Linked DNA regions of Caenorhabditis elegans. The protein of the gene in region 2 purifies or fractionates together with the protein of the main gene of each other region. This does not show direct contact. Each region holds a gene or a part of one and is shown on either strand. Other genes may lie near its edges.

The links.
Region 1: the proteins of elt-2 (region 2) and acdh-7 purify together in Caenorhabditis elegans (affinity purification with mass spectrometry, with the first as the bait; one large-scale study listed by BioGRID). This does not show direct contact.

What each region holds. Positions count from the first base shown.
Region 1 is NC_003284.9:17,215,440-17,219,194, forward strand, and holds the start of acdh-7 (Medium-chain specific acyl-CoA dehydrogenase, mitochondrial), read right to left. Parts: upstream 1,667-3,755; 5' UTR 1,664-1,666; coding exon 1,235-1,663; intron 1,171-1,234; coding exon 1,040-1,170; intron 660-1,039; coding exon 230-659; intron 1-229.
Region 2 is NC_003284.9:10,479,108-10,482,862, reverse strand, and holds the start of elt-2 (Transcription factor elt-2), read right to left. Parts: upstream 1,624-3,755; 5' UTR 1,623-1,623; coding exon 1,481-1,622; intron 1,431-1,480; coding exon 1,332-1,430; intron 1,289-1,331; coding exon 1,162-1,288; intron 1,118-1,161; coding exon 977-1,117; intron 883-976; coding exon 714-882; intron 669-713; coding exon 571-668; intron 525-570; coding exon 151-524; intron 1-150. UniProt on the Caenorhabditis elegans protein: Transcriptional activator that binds to the consensus sequence 5'-[AT]GATA[AG]-3'. Predominantly directs the transcription of intestinal genes such as ges-1, cpr-6, pho-1, ftn-1, vit-2 and lev-11, and itself.

The sequences.
Region 1 (3,755 bases), 6.7 Mb from region 2:
ACCAATCTTTTCTAAGTTTAATCAGCATTTGAAGTTCGTATAGCGTTTTGTAATTTCCTATAATAGTACCGATTTTATGCTCATATTCCTATGTACATCACTGTGATGTTCTGCCTGCTGCATCAAATGCGTCATGGTGTTTGCGGACTTGTAAATTTACGGGGCGCCTCCCATTTTAACATAAACATTTTATCCTTCAAAAAGCTTGATTTGATTCTGCTTGACCTACCTCTGCACCACTCTTGTAGGTCATCAATCTAGCGAGCTCACAATTGATGGCCATCTCGGCAAGCAAGAACGACACTCCTTGATGGTTGGCAATTTGCGTTCCAAACGCTTTTCTCTCCAGAGAATACTGTGTGGCGACGTCCAAGCAGCGGTAAGCAACTCCGGTGGCAAGTGCTGCAACAGTTGGCCGGGTTTTGTCGAATGTCTTCATGGCGACCTTGAATCCCTCTCCTGGGGCTCCGACGACGTTGGCGGCTGGAACACGGACGTCTTCGAAGGTAATACCACGGGTGTCTGAACATCGTTGTCCCATGTTGATCTCCTTGCGTCCTCTGGTGAGTCCTGGGGTGTCCCCTTCAACGACAAATGCGGTGAAGGCTTTTCCTGCTGCGGTCTTTGGGTCTGGGTCGGAACGGGCAAGCACGAAGAACCTGAAAAAAGAGCGTAGGAATGTTGTGAATTTTTTAGCGACAAAATATTTTATTTTCAGATAGATTTTTCCAGAATGCTCCATTCAGCATATTTATGGATTTACAGTGGCCCATAACAATATCTACGGTAGACCTTTTTTCTCGCGTCTCCTAGAATCATTGCACTTTGACCTGTTGATTATAAGTACACGTTTTGATAAGAAAAACGAGGGTTCTTCATCTTCCTGTCGCATTCTTTCTTTCTCTATTCCATTTCTCTCTCTCTCTCTCTCATTTCCACGTCTAGCGGTACAAAGTCCAAGTTTTGTGTAGTCGACCAATCATTGTAGTCTGCCCGACTTTACAATGACGTAGATCCTCACCACGTGGAACTCACTCACCAGTTAGCATGTCCGGCGTTTGTGATCCACATCTTTGAGCCGTTGAGAATATACTCATCACCCTTCTTCTCACACTTGGTTTTGACTCCGGCGACGTCGGATCCAGCTCCTGGCTCGGTGACGGCGTAGGACTAAAACAAAATTGATTAGGTGTTATTTACCGTAAGAACTCAAGTATATTTCGAAAATACTTACCGCCACAAACGGATTGTCGATCATTCTACCAAGGAATCTCTTCTTGATATCATCATTGGCACATAAAATGAGCGGGGTCAGTGCAAGATCATTAGCCATGATAGCGGTAGCAATACCCGAGCATCCATATGCCATCTCCTCACTGATGATACAATTCGAGACCATATCAACTCCAAGTCCTCCATAAGCTTCTGGAATGTCGGCGATCAGATATCCCTGTGCATGAGCCTTCTTGATGATCTCCCACGGGTACTCCATGGTTTTGTCGTATTCGCCGGCAACTGGGATGACCTCATCGGCAACAAACTTGCGAACATTTGCACGGAACTCTGCTTGGTCAGCGGTCAACTGGAAGTCCATGCCGGTTGACATGGCCTTGTTTGTGGTGCTGAACAGACGCGTGCATTTCGTCAAGTTTCTGGAGAGCATTTTCTGAAAAAAACTTTATTGAGAGTTTGCTATGAAAAATCGATAATCCTAGTAATTGAGGAAAAGACAACAACAAAAAATTGGAACACACACGGTGTATGTGGCGTCTGCTGCTATCATCAAGAGAAAAATGTTTTGTGAAGGTAAAGAGAGAGAGAGAGAGATGGAGAATTGGCCCGCTTGGGCGGAGACTACTTGTTGTTGGGTATGGATAAGAAAGTCACGGAGGTGATAAGGATGGCACGCTTTTGATACTGTTTTGGGAAAAACTGCCAATGATTTAGAAGAATATGAGATTAATAGAGATCAAACAGAAAGAACCAGAGAACTGCGAAAATGGGGTGGTGTACTCAAGAGAAATGAATGCGAGATATGGGGAGGGGGGGGGGGGGGGGGGATCGATGGTCCGCAGACTGTCGTCAGGTGTGGCACTTTGTTGTGTTGGCAGAGTGTTGTGGTAAGAGAGTGCGAGACGCAGATGGTGTAACGCAGGTAAATGACCACATGGCAACAGTGTAGTCACTATAAAGTCCAAAGTGCATAGGTGCATGTTCTTCGGAGCGTATGAATGTTACTTTGGTACTTTAATTGAGCAGTTTTTTTATGTTCAACTATTATTCAAAATCAATGAAAAAAGTATACCAAGAATGTTTATAAATAAAAATATCCACAATTCATGAACAATGAGACGCAGGATTAAGAGAAAGAAAAAACAGCTAATAAGAGTTTAGTTTCCGATTCACTCAGAAGTATAGACAATAAAAACATTATACATTTGAAATAATTCTATTGCAAAAATTTGAGTAAGGGGTGGGGTTTTTTTTTGACAAATCGGCAAATTCCCGAAATTTTTTCTTGGAAATTTTTAAATTTCAATTTTAATCGGGAAAATTGTAGGCATCCTATGAATGTTCCTACATCTGTTTTTATTTCAAAAATCCCTTTGGCCACTTCCGGTAAATTGATGTCCGGCAAACGGCTAATCGGCATTTTGCCGAAAATGAAATTGTCCGGAAAATCGGTAGACTGGCATACAGCCGGAATTGAAAATTTCCGGCACACCGGCAATCTGCCGATTTGCTTAATTTGTCGACTAGCGGGCCTATGGGCCCGCCAGCCCTTCGGGAATGGGGATAGGGTTAATTCGCTCTAAGTTATTAGCAAGGTAGCTGGCGCAGGTTCTCGGCTTCGCCTCGAACCTGTTAACGGGATATTCGAGATCTCTTTGAAATTATTTTAGGAGTGGGTATATGTTTAGAAAACTTGACTATTCAGGTTTGAGGCTTCGCCTCGAAGCTCTTACTGTGTAAAGTGAAATCTCTTTAAACTTTGATTCATTGCTCCAGGACCGACACTGTACGAATAACTTAGGCTGAGATTTTGTTCAAGAATAATTTGAATGTATTCAATAAAATAAGCGTGTTTTCAATCATCACTGTGAACTACAAAAAACGGTGAAGGAAAAGGAAAACTCATGAATACGGCCTGCTCTGCTTGGAATAGGATTAAAGCCAGCCCACAATTTTTTAAGAGTATTCGGGCCTGCGGCCCTCAAACCTGGTTGTTAGGTTTGAGTAAATAACAACCGCGTCGCAGGCCTACAGCCTGCTCTGCTTAGAATAGGATTAAAGCCAGCCCACAATTTTTTAAGAGTATTCGGGCCTGCGGCCCTCAAACCTGGTTGTTAGGTTTGAGTAAATAACAACCGCGTCGCAGGCCTACAGCCTGCTCTGCTTAGAATAGGATTAAAGCCAGCCCACAGTTTTCAAGAGTATTCGGGCCTGCGGACCTCAAACCTGGTTATTAGGCTTGAGTGAATAACATATCTGCTTAGAATAGGATCAAAGCCAGCCCATAGTTTCCAAGAGTGTTCGGGCCTGCGGCCCTCGAACCTGGTTGTTAGGTTTGAGTAAATAACAACCGCGTCGCAGGCCTACAGCCTGCTCTGCTTAGAATAGGATTAAAGCCAGCCCACAGTTTTCAACAGTATTCGGGCCTGCGGCCCTCAAACCTGGTTATTAGGCTTGAGTGAATAACATATCTGCTTAGAATAGGATCAAAGCCAGCCCACAGTTTTCAACAGTATTCGGGC
Region 2 (3,755 bases):
ACTTTGAAAAGCTTGAATATCTTAGAGGGCTTGAATGCAATATTATGAAGTTATGTTTTTGTTGTAATTAACGCTATCCACCATTAATACCATACTTTAAGTACTATTTCAAGGTTAGTAGTTTTCATTTTATAAAAGTTGATCACGTACCCATCATCAACCCAGCTGTAGCGGCAGTGTTCCATTGATAGTAATTACTGTACGTTTGATCTGGCAAGGTGACGGCAGCTGAGGAAACGGGATACAAGTCGGCATGTGACACATATGTGGCAGTCGCAGCTGCGACGGCAGCAGTGCTCAGTTCTCGGTCTGCTTTTGCACTTCCCGCACGCCGGTTAGATGACCTTTGAGCCTTTTCGGTCGAAGAAGAGGCTCTCTCAAACTTCCTTTCTCGGGCCCGTGACGTTGATGGTGTGGAAGAGTCTCCGCTTTTTGATTTTCTCTTTCTTGTCTGTAAAGCACCTTCTTTCTTCATTGAGGTCGGCCGAGGGATGTGATGGAGTTTGAAGTAAAGCCCGCAAGCACTGAAAAACAAACCATTAGAAAAAAAAAAAAAAAAAAAAAACTCACTTGCAGACCGGATCTCCTTCAGCATTTCTTCTCCAGAGAGTTGTGTTGGTACCATTGCAATTGGAGCACACAAGTCCCTGCCGACGGGACGCAGATCCCTGTATTGATTTGTTGTACACTGTTGCAAACGAACTTTAACTTACGTTTGACCCCCTATTTGAGCTACTTGACTTTTTAGAGGATTGCTTGGCAATTTTAGCAGTTGGCTGCTCTGAAGGTATTTCCAGAATCGGGGGTTGTCCCAAAGAAGTGCTATACGCGACTGGAGGAGAATACGTGGTTTTTGGTGTTGAACAGTTGACGCACATCATTCTAGAAAATTATTCGTTGTAGTTTATTTCCAAACAGTGTACAGGCACATATTAATCCGGTAGTTTATTGAGTCATCGAAATTTTTCTAGCTTACCCTCCGTTTACTGCCTTCATCCCGGCCCCACAACTTTGTGAGCATTTGACGCATTCGTAAGTTGGAGCCACAGTTGGATAAGTAGAAGGGATGTTAATGGTAGGAATACTGGGGTCGTACAGAGAGGGTTTGTCGTATATGCTAAAGTTTGAATATGAAAGTAAGAACTTGAAAACATGACTTACGAGTTTGTATATCCCGAAAAAGTTCCAAGAGTGTTTACGGGAATTCCACTGTAAAGAGGATAAAACGGTTGCATGGTAGTTTGGTCCAACATTCCAAAGTTTGAGTAGTCTATGCCAGTATGGAAAACTAAAAGGAAGAATTAATCCAAATAACTTGAATTCACACTTACATGATGTAACAGTTTCCACTTTCGGCTCATAGTTATTTGTGCCACTTGTGATAACACTTTGCCGTTCAATTGGAGATGCGTAATCATTATCAATTTTCACTGAAATTTTATAATTTTATAATCCACAAGCATTTCAGTGTTTTGTTTACTTCTCGGTAGTTCACTCAATTGTGACTCATTATTTTGCTCTGGTGGATCCATGTTCTGAGTTGGTAGGCGCAGACCTCCCATTGGTTGAGATGGTTCCATTTCGGCCCAGCCGTTGACATTATCATTGTAGTTATTATCCATTCTATAATCTATTTTCTAGTTTCTATTTTATTAGAATGCCAAGAAAATCAAGCATTTATACATCAAAACTTATCAATGAAAACAGTGGCACCTAAAACATCAAGCAGTTTAAAAATTCAAAAATTCAAAAATGCTTCGAGAAGTGTATTTTCTTAAATACTGCCTTTAAAATTAAAACTATTTGAAGACAATTTTCAGACGAAGATATTACAATTAACATTTTCTTGCTCATTCCAAAAATTAACTGCAAAAATTAATTAAAATAACCCATAAAATAAGAACACAAAGATGTTAATGCCATAGTAACTTAGAAGATATCAGTGAAAACAGTGGCACCTCGATAGCTGTTCAACGATAAGACTAAAAATGATTGGGAAGTATAGATAGGCTGATTTTATCAAAAAGAAAATTGTCAATGAAGGCACAAAGCGTATTGGTTTGAAAAGAAAGATGGTGTGCACACCGAGCTCGGTGTGCATGATGGCTGGCTAGCGATTATGGCGTTAGTGTCGACTATTCTTATCAGTTTCAGCCCCGACCTCTGTCGCTCATATACGCAGACAACCACCCACTTCCAGCCAAACATGGGACTCGGGTCCGCCCATCATTGCATGTACGGTAGTTGGTAATTGAAAAAAGTGGAATGAGGAAGAAAATATTGGTTTCAAAGTAGCGTTTATAATAACTACAAAAAAATCAACTGAGGAGACAATAAGTAGATAAAACAGGCGATCAGACTTTTGATGGATACATATATCCAATTTTGCAAACAAACTTGAAAATTAAATTGAGTTTTTGCGTTTTCACTGAAACTTTCAAACAAGTTGCAATGCAGCTATTAATACTGCACATAGTAATAGTCTTGCTTTAATTTATTGCCAGAACAGATGTATCTAGTTAAAATGTTGATAAATTACTATCCTTCACAGAGTGAAACAAAATCAAAAGCTTTCAAGAATTTATGGTAATTTTTTTTAATTTGATAAGGCATCATTGTCAAAACTTGAATAATTTGTCAAAAGCTAGATATTCAAAAATTAGTATTGAACCTCAATTACCCTACAAAGTTTATAGTGCTCACCAATTGGAAATAAGTTTTGAATACAATACTAATGGAGAAAATACGGCAAACTATACATTTTTAACTTTTCACTCATTAGTTTTCATATAATTTTTAAACTGTGATGTCACACCATAATTTTAAAGACAAGAAAACATACAAATACATATAATTATCAATAAATGATATTATTATAAAATAAAAAACGCATATTTGTGAGATATGAAAAGTACGCCCTTCTATGTTTTTTTTCAAGAATACCGGATCAAAGGGTACGCTTTTTGTTACACAGTGTGTTTTACGGAAACATATTCAACATTTGGAGGACAGTTCTGTCTCCAAAGCTGACCAGTTCAACATTCTTATAAACAAAACGTGATGCGACCTTCAAGTTGTCTGGAACTTTTGTGATTCGGGCAGGATAAGGAGTATGAAGAATACAATAATGAAAAATAAAACAAAAAAAGATAACCTGTAGAAAAATTGATAATTTTCAGTTTTTTTCGATAATCAGCCACACACGCACATAATATTACTTCACACCCCACAATATCAGATAATAATCAAAAATGATAAAATATATCTTTATACATCGATAACACAATCAAACTAGTGATAAATTGGTATTTCAAGATTTCAACCATATGCTCTCCGAACTGTATACTACAGTAATATTATTGGGTACAAGGTCTAAAAACATTAGCATGTTGTAAAACCACTTCTTTTGCTCTCATTTCTCAATGTTTGCGCTCAGTAAGTGAGCTTCTTTTGAAATGAAGTACGGTCGCCTTATCAGTTGCATGACGTTTGAGCCGATTCTTTCCTTTTTGTCTTCAAATTTCCTATTCAGCCAGCAAACTCGGGGAAGTCAAGGATGAACGTTTAATAGAGAAAAACTATGGGTGTTCTGAAACAATCAGTAAAAAAATTATCAGGACAAAATGGCAACATTATCGTTGAGAATGCGTCCTCGTATCGCCGTAGCTCAGAAGTAGAAATCAATTGAAGATAACATTATCAATTCTGTATAAAAAGAAAATACAGGTTTTGATATCAAACCTTAACACATTTAA